4 linked regions of the Saccharomyces cerevisiae S288C genome follow. Changing the gene in region 4 together with the main gene of any one other region gives a genetic interaction. Each region holds a gene or a part of one and is shown on either strand. Other genes may lie near its edges.

Region 1 (4,749 bases), on a different chromosome or scaffold from region 4:
CCACGTCACAAGTGGGTGCTATTGCTGATATCGGCTGGCCTGATATGTTCAATAGCGGTGTCATGATGCTAATACCGGATGCTGATACTGCATCCGTTTTACAAAATTATATTTTTGAAAACACTTCAATTGATGGTTCTGACCAGGGCATTTTAAACCAGTTCTTCAATCAAAATTGTTGCACTGATGAGCTAGTTAAAGACAGTTTCTCTCGAGAATGGGTACAGTTATCATTTACGTATAACGTAACTATTCCTAATTTAGGCTACCAATCTTCACCTGCTATGAATTACTTTAAACCTAGCATTAAGTTGATTCATTTCATTGGGAAACACAAGCCATGGTCATTGTGGTCCCAAAAGAATTTCATTAAAAACGAGTATCATGATCAATGGAATGAGGTATACGAGGAATTTAAGGAAGAACATCAATTAAATAACGAAGTTTCGAAGCCAAAGATTAGTGATTCCGATAAAACTGAGACTCCTGAAACGATAACCCCAGTGGATGCCCCTCCATCGAACGAACCCACTACGAATCAAGAGATCGACACAATTAGTACAGTGGAAGAAAACGTGGACAACCAGAACGCCGAGCCTGTTCCTAACTCGGATCATAGCCCTGCTCCTAACCCTGTCCCATTGGATTTTACCAAGTGGTTAACAACCTTTATTAACAAAGATCACTTGACTAATCAGCCAGTAAATGAAAGCAGAGAATATTCGAAAGAGAATGATAACAATATAATCAATAGCAGTTCAAACCGCGACCAAGAAAGTCCTCCAAATAGTACTCAGGAACTAAACAGCTCTTATAGCGTTGTGAGTACTCAAGCTGATAGCGATGAGCACCAAAATGCAGAAGAGGAGGATAGTACGACAGATAACGCTTCAAATTCTGGAGAAGAAAGCCACCTCGATGATATAAGCACGGCCGCTTCTTCCAATAACAATGTAAGTAATCAACCAGATGGCAAAAATTTTAGCAATTCTAAAGAAAATAATATCAGTGTCGAATCTAGCCCTTCAAATCCAGAACAGAAAAGGTCAACTGACAATATACAAAAACCAAGTGTTTCTACTAATGACTTACCAGACGACGTAGAACCACATACCTCTGTTGATGACAATATACAGTACTTAGAAAAAGACAAGGAAGGTTATGAAGAATTTCTTCCGGACGTGTACGAGTCAAATGCAATCGATAACGAAGAAGAATTTTTTGATGACGATGCAAGAGATGCTACCGAAGGAGAAACGAAGACGAGTGCAGTTGCAGATAAACAGGAGGATATGAAACTTACAGCAGAGGAAACCAACCAACCGCAACAAGAAATGCCCAACTTCAAATTTGACTGGGAGGACTCTGATTATCTATCCAAAGTAGAGAGGTGTTTCCCTGATGATATTTTTGAGTATGCAGTAGAGTAAACTTCCACGCACATATTAGGAAAATTAAAAGACATATCTATGTAAAGACCTTTTCGACTATACAAAAATGCATAACTATTCTATATACATTCAAACTCGAAATTTACTTTAAAGGTTTATCAGCAACAACATCCGATGCTTGCTGTTTATCTTTTCTCACCTCACAACGTTTATAGTGACTGAAAAATTTTTGCATTCTCACCTCGTCTATTGAATGATGTGCTAAGAACTTGAGCTAACATCACAGAACAAAGGTATGAATATACGCAGCCCTGACATTTGTAGATTTTTTATTTGGTCTCTAGTCTTTTCTTTTCTTATTTTATAACAAATTCGTTAAACGGCCTCCTTCTAATTATATACAAGATGTCTGAAGGTATTACTGATATTGAAGAATCCCAAATTCAAACCAACTATGACAAGGTTGTCTACAAGTTCGATGATATGGAATTGGACGAAAACTTGTTAAGAGGTGTTTTCGGTTACGGTTTCGAAGAACCATCTGCCATTCAACAACGTGCCATCATGCCTATTATTGAAGGTCACGATGTCTTGGCTCAAGCTCAATCTGGTACTGGTAAGACCGGTACCTTTTCCATTGCTGCTTTGCAAAGAATTGACACCTCTGTCAAGGCTCCTCAAGCTTTGATGTTGGCTCCAACTAGAGAATTGGCTTTGCAAATCCAAAAGGTTGTCATGGCTTTGGCTTTCCACATGGACATCAAGGTCCACGCTTGTATCGGTGGTACTTCCTTTGTTGAAGACGCTGAAGGTTTGAGAGATGCTCAAATCGTCGTTGGTACTCCAGGTCGTGTTTTTGACAACATCCAAAGACGTAGATTCAGAACTGACAAGATCAAGATGTTCATCTTAGATGAAGCTGATGAAATGTTGTCTTCTGGTTTCAAGGAACAAATCTACCAAATTTTCACCTTACTTCCACCAACCACTCAAGTTGTTCTATTGTCCGCCACCATGCCAAATGACGTCTTGGAAGTTACCACCAAATTTATGAGAAACCCAGTTAGAATTTTGGTTAAGAAGGATGAATTGACTTTGGAAGGTATCAAACAATTCTACGTTAATGTTGAAGAAGAAGAATACAAATACGAGTGTTTGACCGATTTATACGACTCTATCTCCGTTACTCAAGCTGTCATCTTCTGTAACACCAGAAGAAAGGTCGAAGAATTGACCACTAAGTTAAGAAACGACAAATTTACCGTTTCTGCCATCTACTCTGATTTACCACAACAAGAAAGAGACACCATCATGAAGGAATTCAGAAGTGGTTCTTCCAGAATTTTGATCTCCACTGATTTGTTGGCTAGAGGTATCGATGTCCAACAAGTTTCTTTGGTTATTAACTACGACTTACCAGCTAACAAAGAAAACTATATTCACAGAATCGGTAGAGGTGGTCGTTTCGGTAGAAAGGGTGTTGCCATCAACTTTGTTACTAACGAAGACGTTGGCGCTATGAGAGAACTAGAAAAGTTCTACTCCACTCAAATTGAAGAATTGCCATCCGACATCGCTACTTTGTTGAACTAAGGGAGACAAAAACTTCTTAAAAAAGTATCTTGTGAGGCTATCTTGATAACGTAACATATATTTCTAAAAAGTTATATATGCTTTTTGTATTTAATTTGTTTTTCTTTTTACATTCCTATTATTCTTCAAAGTCCAAAAGACTCTCGGCACGAAGGTTGAAATACCCTATACTAATTGTTTGCTTTGTCTTTTTGTATATATCCGAACGTATCTATCTGAAATTTTTCAAATTTATAAAAAATAATATATATAAAAGGAAAAAAAAAAAAATCGATGCCCTACTAATAGAGATTGGAGCTGAAAAGAAAAAGTGTACATCAAACGCTATATCTCGAGGTTTGGGATGGTTGAGTCAAATGATATTATAAAAAGTGGGCTGGCAGAGAAAGCACTAAAGGCTCTAATTTTACAATGTGAAGAGAACCCATCTTTAAAAAATGATAAGGACATACACATAATCATCAACACGGGCAAAAAAATGGGCATAAACAGGGACAACATCCCCCGTATTATTCCATTAACAAAGTACAAGCTATTTAAACCAAGGGACCTAAACATATTACTCATTACCAAGGATCCCTCTGCCTTGTATAGAGAAACTTTGACGAAAGACGAGCATACGTCGGAATTATTCAAGGAAATTATAAGTGTCAAGAACTTGAGACGTAGATTCAAAGGGAGTAAACTGACCCAACTTTATAAAGATTTTGACTTGGTCGTTGCCGATTACAGAGTTCACCACTTACTTCCGGAGGTTCTTGGTAGCAGATTTTATCACGGTAGTAAAAAATTGCCATACATGATCCGCATGTCGAAAGAAGTAAAATTGAAGCGTCAACAAATGGTCGAAAAATGTGACCCCATTTACGTGAGAGCACAATTGAGAAGTATATGTAAGAATACCTCATACATTCCCAATAATGACAACTGCTTAAGCGTCAGGGTCGGTTATATTCAAAAACACTCCATACCAGAAATTTTGCAAAACATCCAAGATACAATAAACTTTCTCACTGATAAAAGTAAGAGACCGCAAGGCGGCGTCATTAAAGGAGGAATAATATCTATATTTGTCAAGACCAGTAACAGTACTAGTTTGCCTATATATCAGTTTTCAGAGGCTAGAGAAAATCAGAAAAATGAAGATCTGAGTGATATTAAATTGTAAAATTAAAGCATCATCTTTTAAATACGGTATTTAAACACTCCCAATGAAAAAGCGTGATTTTGTCTAACTAATTATAGCATTAATAAAGTGTTTTAAACTTTAATTCCTTTCAAGAATTTGCAAGATTATAGAAATTTAGTAAGCGAAAAAAAAAAAGAAAAAAAAAAGAACAGACACCCTATAAAAATAGAATAAACATAATAAGCCACCATTTGCCTGTCTGATGATATTCTTGATTCTTTATATCTCTTCAGGTATGTGACACCTATACATGCAACGCTTTTTTTGCGTTTTTTCTATACAATAGTTGTTTATTTAAAAGCGTAGGAGCTTCATGCAAATCTGCAAGGTATTTCTTACACAGGTTAAAAAACTACTTTTTGTTAGTCTTCTATTTTGCTTGATAGCTCAAACATGTTGGCTTGCACTTGTACCATATCAGAGACAGCTGAGCCTAGATTCGTATTTTTTTAGAAGATCTCGAGAAGTTTCATCGAGATATGATTTTACAAGGAGGCGACATATGAATCAGACGCTGAAGCTATCTAGCAACACTTATAATGATGAACCACTAAACAAGACCAAGGGAATAAAAAA
Region 2 (4,330 bases), on a different chromosome or scaffold from region 4:
TTTGATAATATTAACACGCATATTGAAACGCTAGCTTACAACTCCCTTAAAGAGACCCTTCAAGACTTTCATCTGATATTTTCCAATGCTAGGATATACAATACTGAGGGTTCAGTAGTATACGAAGACTCTTTAGAACTGGAAAAAGTGGTTACGAAGAAATACTGTGAGATAATGGGCGATAACTCACAACTCGACTTTACTGAATTTGATGAACAGTATGGCACCAGACCCCTCGTCTTGCCTCCTGTTGTTACTTCAAGCGTGGCTGAATCTTTCACAGATGAAGCGGACTCGAGCATGACAGAAGCGAGTGTATAGTACCTTCCTAAAGCAATATAAGTACTTATTCGTTTATACGTAGACAAACATTAATCCCTCTTTTTTTTATTGTACCCATTAACCGAGTTGGGATGTTTAATATCTCTAGTATAACGTGCCGTATATTTCCTATATATATATATATATATATTTATATATATTAGATTTTAAGTTAATTGTTCAACTAATTGATCGATTTCGCCTCTTATAATTCTGCTATACATATTTATTTTAAACCATCTCTTTGAACAAAGTAATATGTCGTCATCATAGTGAACTTGTTCTTGGACCTAATTATAAATTTTCCAATACGGAACAAATTATTTGTTCCAACACCCTGCTAGCAACACAGGGCAATATATATAAAGAAGATATATCTACTACTTCTTTTCCTTGAGTATATGTCTTTAATAGATATTTCATGTATTTGATTCATCTTTAATGGAAATACTCGGAGATTATATACAGGTCCGAGATGGCCTTAAAGATATTTCCCACAAATGTATTTACCACTCATTAGAAATGAGTTTCTGTTGTATTACGGGCTCGAGTAATACCGGAGTGTCTTGACAATCCTAATATAACAGTCTTAGGGAAGTAACCAGTTGTCAAAACAGTTTATCAGATTAATTCACGGAATGTTACTTATCTTATATATTATATAAAATATGAATCATACTAAGTGGTGGAAGCGCGGAATCTCGGATCTAAACTAATTGTTCAGGCATTTATACTTTTGGGTAGTTCAGCTAAGGAAGGACGGGTTTTGTCTCATGTTGTTCGCTTTGTTATAAGGTTGTTTCATATGTGTTTTATGAACGTTCAGGATGACGTATTGTCATACTGACATATCTCATTTTGAGATACAACAGTTTCAACAGTCATCAGGGCACATGGCGCAGTTGGTAGCGCGCTTCCCTTGCAAGGAAGAGGTCATCGGTTCGATTCCGGTTGCGTCCAATTTTTAAGCTTGATCAATGTATAAAAGCATATTTTTTTTAATGTTTCTAAGACTAACTAACGAGGGTTATTTTCTAAGCCTCTATATCTTTTAACTGTTTGTTAAATTCCTCATAAGTTATGGAACTTTTTTTGCCCTCGTACCTTATTACTTCAATGAAATAAGTTTCAAAATTATCCATTACTTCACTAATATTGCCCCAGTAACCCGCCTTCTCGATTAAATTGGCAAAGGTATCTTCTTTATTCCAATGTTGCTCAGGCATAACATCAGGTAAAAAGGTTGCGCTACATGTGGTGCCTGTTTTGGGATGCTTAAAATACAGTTCAATACCGTGCTTTCCGAGTTCCCAATCGAAAATGTCCCCATTTGGATTACCACCACCTCGAAAAATAGTTTTGAAGTTGCCTAAGATGTTGCAACTGCATTTCAGGTCCACCAATTCCCTTTTCTGGATCGGAGAAAATCTCCTATCCTCTAAAGCAGCAATCAAGGAATATTTCTCAATACCATGTGCAATCGGCATCTTAGCAAATGTACCGATACATCCTCTAAGTATATAATTCTCTTCGTTAGTGTCTATTGTGTGATGTTTATTGGACTTTTTCTTCCAAGTTATGAACAACGAAGTTTTCTCATTGTAATCTATTTTAAAGTCGGGGTATAGCCTTCTTCTAATATCTTCTAAAGAAAGGCTGCTCGATTTCCCCGGATTCAAGTGCGAATAAAGTTGATAAAATGCGTAAAACGCAAATGGCGATGAACCTTTAGGGCCTTCCATTGATATCTTTGCAAAAAAACTGGATTTTCGAAATAGCCTTAAAGCCATTACTATCGCACAAGCCAAAAACCATCTTTTCAAAGGATCTTATCTGGATACAAATTGACGCAAATTTCTCTTTATATTCCTCCTTTGTCGCCCAGTGTCATGTGCTTATCCCTTGAAAAAAGGGCCGTTGTTCGAGCCTTGCGAGGCGTATAAAAATTTGGTAAAAATTAAAATTGACACGTAAAAGTTAAATAACATGAAGAGAAATATCTTTTCGCAGTCATTTTCAACAGTAAGCATCCACTTAACACAATTAGGAGAGACAAAATTTGACATATAATGTTATTTCTTAATATTATTAAGCTCCTTTTGGGACTTTTTATTATGAATGAAGTAAAGGCGCAAAACTTTTACGATTCCGATCCTCATATATCAGAGTTAACGCCAAAAAGCTTCGATAAAGCGATCCATAACACAAATTACACATCATTAGTGGAATTTTATGCTCCGTGGTGCGGCCATTGTAAGAAGCTCTCTAGTACGTTCCGCAAGGCAGCAAAAAGATTGGATGGTGTAGTCCAAGTTGCTGCTGTAAACTGTGACCTTAACAAGAATAAGGCTTTGTGTGCTAAATACGACGTAAACGGATTTCCCACGTTAATGGTATTTAGGCCCCCAAAAATTGACCTATCTAAGCCAATAGATAACGCCAAAAAAAGTTTCAGCGCTCATGCCAATGAAGTGTACTCAGGTGCAAGAACTCTCGCGCCTATTGTTGATTTTTCTCTTTCAAGAATAAGGTCATATGTCAAAAAGTTTGTCCGTATAGATACACTTGGCTCTTTACTTAGAAAGTCACCCAAACTTTCCGTGGTGTTGTTTTCCAAACAAGACAAAATTTCACCGGTTTATAAAAGCATTGCCCTTGATTGGTTAGGAAAGTTCGATTTTTATTCAATTTCAAACAAAAAACTCAAGCAACTAACCGATATGAACCCAACATATGAAAAAACTCCTGAGATTTTCAAATATTTGCAGAAGGTCATTCCTGAACAGCGACAGAGCGATAAAAGTAAGCTTGTCGTTTTTGATGCAGACAAAGATAAATTTTGGGAGTATGAAGGGAACTCAATCAACAAAAATGACATTTCCAAATTTCTGCGGGACACTTTTAGTATTACCCCCAATGAGGGTCCTTTTAGTAGACGTTCTGAATATATTGCTTACTTAAAAACTGGCAAGAAGCCAATTAAAAAGAACCATTCCTCCTCAGGAAACAAGCACGACGAATTGTAGTGGTACGTTTCCTCATTCAATGATTATCTAATTAAACACAACATATGTATCTATATAGTCCACTAACTGATGGCATGGACGTTTACTTTTATTTGCAATAATAACTTTTATCTGAGCGGTTAAATACCGAAAGACACGTTTATTACCCGCTTTGAAAATTTTCAACCGATGAGCTTGCCTTTCTACCGGAAAACTGGGGCATAAGAATAAGTACTAAATAGTATAATTAAATTGCCATCCAAAAATTGTATAGAGGGTCAATAAGCACTAGAAGGTTAAAAATGTCGTATTACTTTAAAAATCTGAAGCCAGACTTGAACTCCGACGTAGAAGAAGATGACGGAAACTTATTGGAGAGCATAATGGCGAACAAAAGTAAGCGAGAAATTGACGAACAAGAATCAAGTGACGATGAGTTGAAAACCTTGTCTTTTGGTTCTTTGAAGAAGGCTGAAACGGTAATAGATGAAGAAGATTTCAAAGATACGAAACCCGTTCACAAAAAACCGATCACAACTACATACAGAGAAGAAAGTTTTGATGAAGATGAGGACAGTGAGGACCAATCAGACGAGGATGCTGGATTCTTTGAAGAAGATAGTGAGGATGAAACTCATCATGGTCAGAAAGTACCAAAAAAGAAGAGCAAACACGCTCCAGTAGAACAATCATCCAAGAAAAGGGTACCACGAGTCCGAAATATCCCTGGGCTGGAAATACCGAGGAATAAAAGGTCTAACCTCTATCAGGACATCAGATTTGATAAGTCCACCGGTAAAGCCCTTGATAGTTCTATCATAAGAAAACGTTACCAGTTCTTGGACGAATATAGAGAAAAAGAAATTGATGAACTGCAGAAGCTGTTACAAGAAAGAAAATTTCTATCAAAAATAGACCAGGGAGAACGTGAAGAAATGGAACAAAGACTGAAAAGTATGAAATCGAGATTGCAATCAATGAAAAACAAAGATCTCGAGCGTGAA
Region 3 (5,976 bases), on a different chromosome or scaffold from region 4:
AAAGGTATCTCTCAGCTCATCTAATTCTTTTGAGGAACATCCTTTGTAATACTGAGCTTGCATTGGTTGTGGATAGTAGATGGATTTATCTTCACCGATTAATTTTTTATATTTTTCCCATTGTTCAGGCGAAAACAGGCCAATACTGTTATCTGCAGGAAGATCATCACCAGTATCTGTTAAATAGTTTGCCGCAACATCACCGGGAATGCCGACTTGCTCAAACAAGCTAATTTTTTTAATTGGTGGGAATATTAGGTCCCAATGCAATTCATATAATTCCTTGGTATAGATGTTCACATTAGTGAATATATTTTTGAGCATACTAAGAAGTTGCTTGAAAACTGAGTAAGGCACATTACGGGACTGTGTCTTGAAGAGGCTATCCGATTTATCCAAATCTAAAATCATTGCGAGAGCCATTACCTTAATAGGAACTGTTAAAGCTTTCATAATATTATAATCGTCATCTATTGAAACGTAATACTTACCAATACTTTGGACATTCTCCATGGTTTCAGTTTGCATTGATTTGTTGTAAAAGGTGAGAGCATTAATTAAACAGCTTAAGGTTAGGATACCGTTGGACTCATCTATGTAGTTTATGTTATCAAGTGAGGATAAATCTTTTATTTTTGTCATTCTCGTAAAGAGATCCCTTATAATGTGCAAATAAAGTAAATAGCCCCCCTTTTGATAGAAAATATAAGCCGGTATTGTTTGTAATATTTCAGTGGAATTAGGGGAAGCCTTTGGAATAGTAAACACAAAGGTGTTGAAGTTTAATAAAACGAGAATATACGGTAGATGACCTTCGAGTTCGGTGGCCTTCAACATTTCAATAACATTTTCAACAACGTTCTCAAATATATGAACTTCTGTCGTCAAATCTTTATGCTCTAGATCCATATTCCTAGAGTGGCTTAACCTTAAAAAGCAGCGAAATAGAATTGCAGTATTTGATTGTAATGTATACAGTATTGTTCGCATTTGAAGAGTATTTCTCGTTTTTACGCTGGTAATTTTCCCCTTTTGATCACCCTTTTTTGGGTCATCGATATAAATTTGAAGTGGTGGTCCATCTCCGGAAACATCCACTATAGGCAACGGCATTGTTTCTGTAATAACAGAATCTGGCATATGTTGGCGTATGTACATTTCCTCCAACGCACATTTCTGGAATAGCAACTTTAAGTTTTTAATTAAAGAAAATCCTCTTTTGTCAAAATAAGAATAGATCTGCATGATTCTCTTACAAGATAAGGTAGTGAGGTCAATGTATACATTCGTAACAATGTTCAAAATAGCGGCAAGTCGACAAAGTTTTGAATGGCATGAACGCACCGAGTTTTCCCCATCTCTTTCTAAAAAGAAACTTCTATCATTTGGACTATTCAAAAAATCATTCAGGTTCTCCAATTGATCGTTCAATACTTTCATAACATCCATGAATGCGTAGTCTTCGTATTTTTCATCCAGATACTGGAGGACCTCAGTAACATTTGAGATTGCCACGGAGGTAAAGTATTCATAAGGAGGATTTTCCATAAATATTATTGCCAGAAAATCTCTCGCTTCCAGATGTTGTGGCACCTGTGAAAAAGAACCATTTCCTAAAGACATACCAAACAAAACACTGGTAAATGTGTCCAGCATAGTTCCCTTATCTAATAGCTCCCAGTATGCAGGTTCATGTTCCTCTTTATCTGTCAATATTTCCTCATTTTTTCTGTGAAAAAAGTACTTTTGATCTTTTGGTGAAGTAAAAAGAAACTCTCTTTCATTTCTAAAGGTACTTGGCATTTTTCTGATGACGTTACACAAAGCCTCCACGATATTTGCCTTTAAGTCTGGATAATGTCTTGCTAATTCATCAATGTCAGTACCATATTCCGTAGAACGATCTCCACCTGTTAATATACGCGCGTGGTCAGCATCGAGTAAGAAATCAAACAAATTGTTTATGAGACCCTTTTCTTTAACTTGCTTCAGCCCTTCTGGATTCAAGCATATGGCAGAAACGACATCTGGAAGTAAACTTAATAATTCGGCGGAAGGCCCAATTAACTTTGGAAAATTATCGATAACATATGGAATAAGTCCTGCTTCAACCAGAACAGGATAAATAGTAGGCTCACTATTTATTACTTTCTGAACTACATCCAGAGTGTAAGTTATTAATGTTAAACCGAATACAAGTTTATTTTCTAGGATTTTCTTTAATGAAACAAGTATCGGCGAATCTATTAAATTTCTAATTCTATCCCCTGAGTCTGTGCTTAATAATTTGAGAACGAGTTTCAATAAACTTCTAATATATGCCAACTCCCTAAAAGAAATTGAATAATAAACCACTGAATATTTTGGCGGTTGCCACGTCTCTGGATGTGCAAGCGTGAAATCAATCTCATTGGCGACTGAAGTGATCAGCATAGTAAACCCATCATTTTCGATAAATTCAGTGGTAGTTTCACTGTTATCTATAAATGTTTCTAGGAGATGGGTAGCAGATGCGAGGGTACGCTTATATGGGCAATTTCTTATAGATACAATTTCCAATAAAGTAGGTATTAAACCCGCGGCGAAAAGAGATTCATGCAAAGGCTTAACGTCAGCTAAATTTGATATCAAGTAAAAGAACCTCACATTATATTCTTCATCGATTTCGTCTGTCGCTTCTCTCAATGTCTTGGCAATGTAACGGAGAATCTGAAACAACAGACCATGCGATATGTTACCACCGAGATTTCTGATAATGTCTGAGCACCAGACATGCTTCAAGGATATACATTCCAATGTGAATAAAGCATCCGTTCTTAGCTCTTTTGGTATTTTGGTTTCAGACAACGATATCAAATCAGTTAGACTATTAAAAGCATACGGATCTAATTCAAATAACTTCGAGCTTACTTGAGGAGGCGAGAAAATGGTGTTAACAAATGCAATAGCATTCAGTTTTGTTTCAATAATTATATTTCTCAAATCTATATTTTCACCTGAATCATCACTGAAGGCCTTCGCCACCGAAGCTTTTATTGAGAAATCAAACCAACTTTCTGCGGGTAAAAGGGCCATACCCTTATCAAATATTTGCTGTAGTGAGTGTTCACACAGTTCTTGGGTCGTCATAGTTACCTTCTTAATGGAAGTTTGGGTTTCATTAATGTTATTTTTTTGCTGGCTTGACTTTTTAAAGTCGTTTGAAGTATAATGTGTAAATCTCAACTTTCTCCATTTTTGAGGCACTTTTTTCTTATCAAAATATAGATCGACAAGAGAAAAGTGCTCTCCGTCTTCATCCATGACGGAAGATGACAGAGATAAAGCTAGTTTGAGAGTTTTTTTCCTGAGGTTGTGATCTCCAAATATGTTATGTGCAACTATTTTTTCTCTCGCAATCACAAACCTTTCCCCTAAAATGGCTAAAATTCGCATGACCGCTAGTTTTATTGTAAAATTCGGACAATTCAGTAGATACATTAAAACATCTCCAGATGAATAAACAAACCTGTTTTCTGTATTTAGAAGTAGTCGACGAGTAAACTTTAGCATTTTCAAACAATAATCAACATCATGCGCTTCCATTTCCACCAATTTGACTTCACACTCCTTCTTGGGGTCTTGCTTGTATTTATATTTCTCTGCCACTTTTAACAACAGCCCGTCCATTCTGTCTAGAATGGGAATCCAAACATAAAGATCATCTCTGGATCGGTCCCACTCTTGGATTGCCTCAATTCTTTCTAAAAATGTGGGAGTATCACAATCAATCAAATAATCAACTAAGGGCTTATAACCAGCGGCGAGTTTCTCCTTTCTTGCCTTTTCACACCGAGTAAAAAGCACCATGAATATATATTTTCAATCAAAGGCAAAAAGTAAACTAAATATGCACTATTTTCTCACCAATTATACGAGTAGTTATGGATATTCAGTAACTAAGGTATTTGAAAAATATTCGTTGTTTTACCTTTTCTTCTTTTCCTCTCCCAAAATCATGGTGATTTAGTATCGGCTCATTAAAAGCTAGCTGAAATTCCTCATTATCACAAAGCGGCAAAACTGAAAGCAGTCGGGTAACGTGCGAAATATGATTAAATAAGATCAATCCTACTAGCGTGTATATAACAGTACATGATTTAAAATGAATAAAGTGTAGAAGGGTATTCCTTCGGCGTTGAGTAAGAGAGAATGTATAAAGACTTAATTAATATATTTATATTAGAAACAAGGAAACCATACACTTTAAAGTCTAGTGGTTTTGGGAAGAGAAATCTGCAGGTGATTGCGTAGCCGAATCTTGTAAGGATGGAGAAACGTTGTCCAAGAATACTGGCTTCAATACCTGTTCATCAAAATTTTGAAACCATTGTGAGTCGGAATTAAAGATTGTTCCCAGTTTATCTCTCAAATTACGCTTATCCATAGAAGACCTTGCCGGGTTAGGGCTAGTATTCTCAGTTTCATTAAGGCCTCCAAAAGTATTACCACCAGTTGTGGATATGTTATTGGGGAGATTCTTGTTACTGCTGACCGCGAATTGGTCAATTGAAATATCTGGAGAATTGTTGTCAGAATATGGGCCCAAATCTGTCTGAATAGAACTACCGTTCAATAAATTTATCGCCCTTGGAGCCTCTATATCAAACTCGTCATCAGATGTATCTTCTTCACTTATGCAACCAGTCTTAATATTTAAAACTTCTAACATTCCTGCAGTAGTGCCCCCAAAAATGATAACTGTTAAAACAACAACAACAAGGACCGTTGCCAATAAAGTGAACTTATACTCACCTTGAATTCCCAACGCCAAGGCGACACCAACAGCACCACGTAAACCTGCCCAAAATGTCATCATTTGGTAATTGTAGGGTATTTCATCGGGAACAGAAATATTTTCTCCGGTTATGCCGCTCATAGATCTGATTGTCTTTACTCTATATATCCAGTTAACAAATTGCGACAATGGGAACACAGCACACCAACGAGCAACACATATAGAAATAGCTGCCACAATAATTAGCAGTGGCTTATAGACTAGTTCTACTTCAGTAAAAAGTTCTAAACCTAGATAGATAAAGATGAAATTCTCTGATAATCTTGCCAATAGTTGGAAAATATACTTAATGGTGATCTGTGATCTTCTTGACATGTTATAATAGGCGTAATGTTTTAAAGTAATTCCGCAAAATAACAAGGAGACGATACCGGACATATGGCAACCGTTGGAGAAAAAATAGGATTCATAAGCAATCAACAAGATCAAACAACTCTCAATTTGAGGATAGCGCCTTATGTGAGTGTGTTTCAACAGAAGAGCAACAAGAATTCCTATAAGAACGCCTATCAACAACGAAACGGAGAAAGTCATCAAAAAGAGGCCTGCCCCTTCAAAAACCGACGAAAATGTTGCAGGTTGACCATGAAATTTTTGACAGGTTTCAAACATAACAATAGAGATGGCATCATTTAACAGTGATTCTCCAAAAATGATGGTATATAGCTTAGGATCCACTTTATACGCATTGAAAATTGAAAGAATTGTAACAGGGTCGGTAGCAGATAATGTAGCACCAACAGACATTGCATCTGCGAATGAAATGTCAATACTCTCTAGTCCTAAAAAGGTCCAGATATACAATATGATTCCAATAACCACAGCAGATATGAAGGTGCCCGGTATGGCGAAAATTAAGATAGATAACATATTATTGAAAAAGTTCACTTGATTCAACTCGTACCCACTATTTAAAATAATTGGCGGCAATAGAACATTAAAAAAGTAGGATGAATTAAAAGTAACCGTATCTTGAATATAATGCCCGGGGGACATCCTTATTATCAAGCCAATAACCATACCATAAAAAATAGAAAGCACAGTTTCATGCACTGCCCTAATTCGTTTCTGAGTTAAATAGTAACTAGACCACAATGCAGAGATCAATAGGAGCAACATAATGAACAATGCCCATGAAG
Region 4 (4,171 bases):
AGTTTTCCTGAAAGTTGATACAAGTAATTTGATTAGCTTTATCTTCCTCGTAAACCCATCGAAAAACAACTTTATATTTTCATAGACCTTTTCCTGGTCAAATTCCTCTTTCTGTGAATCAGATTCGGATTCTGAATCCTCAAAATCCAAAAATATATCGTCCGAGTTTGCTGAAAAATCGGGTTCCTCAAGCCACTCTTTTATTTCATTCATTGTATCGTCCATTATGGCCACATTATCTTTTAAGATGTTTGCTAGGATCCCATAAGGTCCAGCCTTGGAACAATTAGAGAGAGAATCGCACGCATTGAATATTTTACCAACTGAGGTTAACCTTTCTTTGTCTAGAGATGCATTTTCGTCATTTTTCAATCTTTCTTGTAATTCGGCAATGAAATCTCTCAAGCCATCGAGCAATTGTAGCGTACTTTCATCCAGTTGGTCTGTAAAGTATTTGGGGCAATCCTTGTTATTGTAAAACAAAGGGAATAAACTTAGTAAGTAGAATAATGGCCTACTAAAATTTTGGATTTCGGTAATCACAACTTTATGATTGTTATCAAAAGTTCCTGGCTTGCAAACAATACCTATTTTTGTGCAATGTGCCTTCAATACAGAGGCTAATTTGTCTAGTTCCTTAGTTGGGGTGGAACCTTGTAGTTTGGTAGTAGAGGAGATTTTACGCAAGTCTTCCGGCTTTTTGTATGGCACTAAAAACTGTTCATCTATAGAATTCAGCAGTTCCAATAATTTGACGTCATCCTTTCTATCACTGCTTCCAGTAGACATTATTGTATAACTGGTATTTCTCTTATAAAGTTTATAATAGGCGTCTCTGGTGATGCTTGTTGACCTCAATGGATTTTGTTAAAAGGAGGCTTCATGTCATCGTCAAGATCATTGCAGTTTTTTTCTAGTTTTTTTTTTTTCATTGCCACATTATGAAGCGCCCATTCAAAAACAACTAGAAAAACGTTTGCCAACCCTAGGTACGGCAAGATCCTCCTTATTAATAAAAGCATCACACCAAGACAGCAAAGAAGTAAATCGATAATATGAATAGCATAATTTTGCGAAGTTAAAGTCCTAAAGAAATAATTTATAGTTAACACTACTTACATAATTTCAATACTGCTTTATATTTAAAGTAAAAAACGCATAACGGAAATACAAATACAAGTCAAAAACTATCTTGAAGTAAAGATGGCATGACTGCTATTTTGTTTCTTGTTACTTTTAAGCTCCTTTTCCACAACTGTTAATTTTCTTATTGGACGGATGGACCTGGGTTCATTCTTCTCTTACCGTTAACCAAGGTAACGTTAACGAATCTTCTGGTGTACAATAATCTTTTGTAAGCACGACCCTTAGGCTTCTTTGGCTTTTCGGTTTTTTCAACCTTTGGTGTTTGAGACTTGACTTTACCAGCACGAGCTAGAGAACCATGAACTTTAGCCTAAATAAATAATATTAATATTAAAAATTAATGACCATGTTAGTATAGTGAATTTTTGAATTATTTGGCGTATCAGCAAGGATGCTAAAAATAAACTTCACTCTGCTATTTTCTCAAAGCCTTTTTAACTCTCCGTCAAAAAATGTTGTTATTAAACTCGACATTATGTTAAGTCCACGCTGTTGCCCTCGAAAAATCTGTGTCAAGCAATTACGTTTTTGATGTAACAGAACTCAAATTTAAAAAGTTTCCTATCATATTCTCAGGGTGGAGCCAGTTTAAAGATATATTGCGTTTTATTTCTTTTTCTGCGGTATATATAGATATGAAACACCAGTAATATATTCAAATTAGCTATTTCTTGTTATTCATTCCTCGCTGAAACGTCCATTTTTTTCATATTTTAAAATCCTAATGAGGCATTACGTACCATATTTGCGTAGTTTTTGTATGGGGATATGGAAGATTATTACAGTGGCAAATTTAATGTGCAGTTCATGTAGCCTTTAAAATGCAACATACCGTTCGTAAGGCTGTTTTGTTCTATCTATTTTTTCTGAGGTTTCCGACAACCTCACGACATTTTTTTTTTTCGAACGGAAAAAAGAAAAGCAGTTAGTATGTAAAGCACGGATTTTTTTATACATATGTACGGATGTGATAGTCTGCAACTCTGCAACTCTGCAGTTCTCAGCCATGTCAGATTTAAAGAGTTTCCTTAGCAACGTAGCAAAGAAATGTACCGCTGTAGGGTTTACAAGCCCTTCGATCTTGCTATATAATATATGATTTGTCCTCTTTCCCTTGGTTTTTCCACATCTTCGCTATCTTCCAAGCTACCACGATCCAACGAACAGTGGAATACGCAGGATTCGTCGTGAGAAATCGCCAAAACAACTTCTTCAAATGCAGCGTATAACTTGGAACACACCTTCCAATCTTTGCAACGGATGATTACTTCATGTGTGGACGAACTTTCCTGTTCAGCCTTTTCCACCATAACGGATATGTCATTAAATTCAGTATCACCGCTAGTATCAGCTGTGTAAATGTTTCCCCGCGTATCTGCGATCGAGCTATCCTCAATTCTTAATAAATCTTCATCGTAGCGGATATTTTCTTCCATCTCTCGATCTCTAGTATTGGTATATAGTGAAGACATCGGTTTATCCGCTTCGATAATCGGAAGAGATCCTTCCTCCTGCCGGCCGTCTGTGTCGATGTGCTGGTTTTGGGAAGGATTGTCAGTGAGCCCTTCTTGGCGTTGTATCACAGAGTCTAAGGGTCCATTCCAGCATATTTCCAAATGCCAATCTAATTCATTCACAATTATCTTAAGTTCTACATCATCACCTTCATTTCCATGCTCCTTTTTTTTGACTCCCATTAAATGAATGTGGTTGACATTACTGTACCGTTCAACACGTCTAATAAACCCGTGGAAGGCGGAGCCAAACTCGCCCGATATTGGTGGCAGCTTGTACATCATCAGTTGAATATAGTTAATCATTGGCTCTTGTATTCGCGTATCTTGTGCTCGGAATAATAGTTTGACAGGTACTTTGAACGAATGCATGATAACCTTATTGCTTGCGAGTAGATTTCCTGTGCCTACTGTGGTTGGTAAACCATTGTGCTCATCCACTCCCCCATTCATAACTATAGCGTCATTTGGGCCGCTAGTATGTACAATTTCTTCGAATGTTATACCTAGAGCACAAATGGGGTTCGGTTTTGAGGTTGTATCTACGCCTCCTGCTGTTCCTCCTGAAAGTGTTCCGTTATTTGTATTCCATTCTGGCATTGACTGTAGTTTTATAGTCATATTAGAGGAAGATCCTTGGTTCATTACTCGATCATACCTTTTAAACACACTCAATAAAGAATCACAATTACACTCCATTGTTATTGTATTGAGCTCGCGAGCTGATATAACTGTATATAATCTGAATACATCATGAGGAATGGTACACCAAAGCTGACCAGTATCCCCTCGTAATATTGTACCGTTGTTACTGCTGTTGAGTGATGATTTTGGAGTGGATATTATTGTCAATCTTTCACTATTAAATCTTAAGATAGCCGTCTTTCGTAGCGAAGCAACTGTATTGATAGTAGTTCTTAGCAATTTATAATCATCAGGTGCTTCACAACCATTTACTATCAATTTTAATTTCATTTAACTGAATTAAGACACACCTTTTGTCTTCTTTTTTCTCTCATCATCTCCGTATGTTTATGTTGCTATTTTGATGTAAATAAAAAAGTTGAATAATAGACGAGGGCAAGTATAACTCGCCTATATTTGTAGCCGCAACCATTGAAAAAGAGCCATGAATATGGGAAACTAGTTGCACATAAAAATGCTGAAATTTAGAATTAGGCCAGTGAGACATATACGGTGTTATAAACGACACGCATATTTCTTACGATATAACCATACGACTACCCCTGCACAGAAGTTACAAGCACAGATCGAGCAAATACCTCTCGAAAATTACAGAAATTTCTCTATAGTTGCCCATGTTGACCATGGGAAGTCAACCTTAAGTGACAGACTGCTGGAAATAACGCATGTCATCGATCCCAATGCGAGAAATAAACAAGTTTTGGATAAATTGGAAGTCGAAAGAGAAAGAGGTATTACTATAAAGGCGCAAACATGTTCGATGTTTTATAAAGATAAGAGGACCGGAAAAAACTATCTTTTACATT

What was found.
Region 1: mutations in RPS30A (region 4) and TIF1 together harm fitness more than expected from each alone (negative genetic interaction), as found in Saccharomyces cerevisiae (2 studies listed by BioGRID).
Region 2: mutations in RPS30A (region 4) and YOR289W together harm fitness more than expected from each alone (negative genetic interaction), as found in Saccharomyces cerevisiae (2 studies listed by BioGRID).
Region 3: mutations in RPS30A (region 4) and TOM1 together harm fitness more than expected from each alone (negative genetic interaction), as found in Saccharomyces cerevisiae (3 studies listed by BioGRID).

What each region holds. Positions count from the first base shown.
Region 1 is NC_001143.9:553,191-557,939, forward strand, and holds TIF1 (translation initiation factor eIF4A), read left to right. Parts: upstream 1-1,796; coding exon 1,797-2,984; downstream 2,985-4,749. Other genes in the region: glycogenin glucosyltransferase GLG1, read left to right, coding at 1-1,430; UTP30 (Utp30p), read left to right, coding at 3,328-4,152; mannosyltransferase KTR2, read left to right, coding at 4,487-4,749.
Region 2 is NC_001147.6:851,138-855,467, reverse strand, and holds YOR289W (uncharacterized protein), read right to left. Parts: upstream 2,112-4,330; coding exon 1,356-2,111; downstream 1-1,355. Other genes in the region: SWI/SNF catalytic subunit SNF2, read left to right, coding at 1-321; protein disulfide isomerase MPD1, read left to right, coding at 2,391-3,347; rRNA-processing protein RRP36, read left to right, coding at 3,629-4,330.
Region 3 is NC_001136.10:1,367,663-1,373,638, reverse strand, and holds the start of TOM1 (E3 ubiquitin-protein ligase TOM1), read right to left. Parts: upstream 3,850-5,976; coding exon 1-3,849. Other genes in the region: bifunctional K:H/Na:H antiporter NHX1, read right to left, coding at 4,253-5,976. UniProt on the Saccharomyces cerevisiae protein: Probable ubiquitin ligase protein involved in many cellular processes, such as transcription regulation, maintenance of nuclear structure, cell cycle, mRNA export and rRNA maturation.
Region 4 is NC_001144.5:711,270-715,440, forward strand, and holds RPS30A (40S ribosomal protein eS30 RPS30A), read right to left. Parts: upstream 1,890-4,171; coding exon 1,887-1,889; intron 1,457-1,886; coding exon 1,268-1,456; downstream 1-1,267. Other genes in the region: YLR287C (uncharacterized protein), read right to left, coding at 1-789; MEC3 (Mec3p), read right to left, coding at 2,211-3,635; GTPase GUF1, read left to right, coding at 3,820-4,171.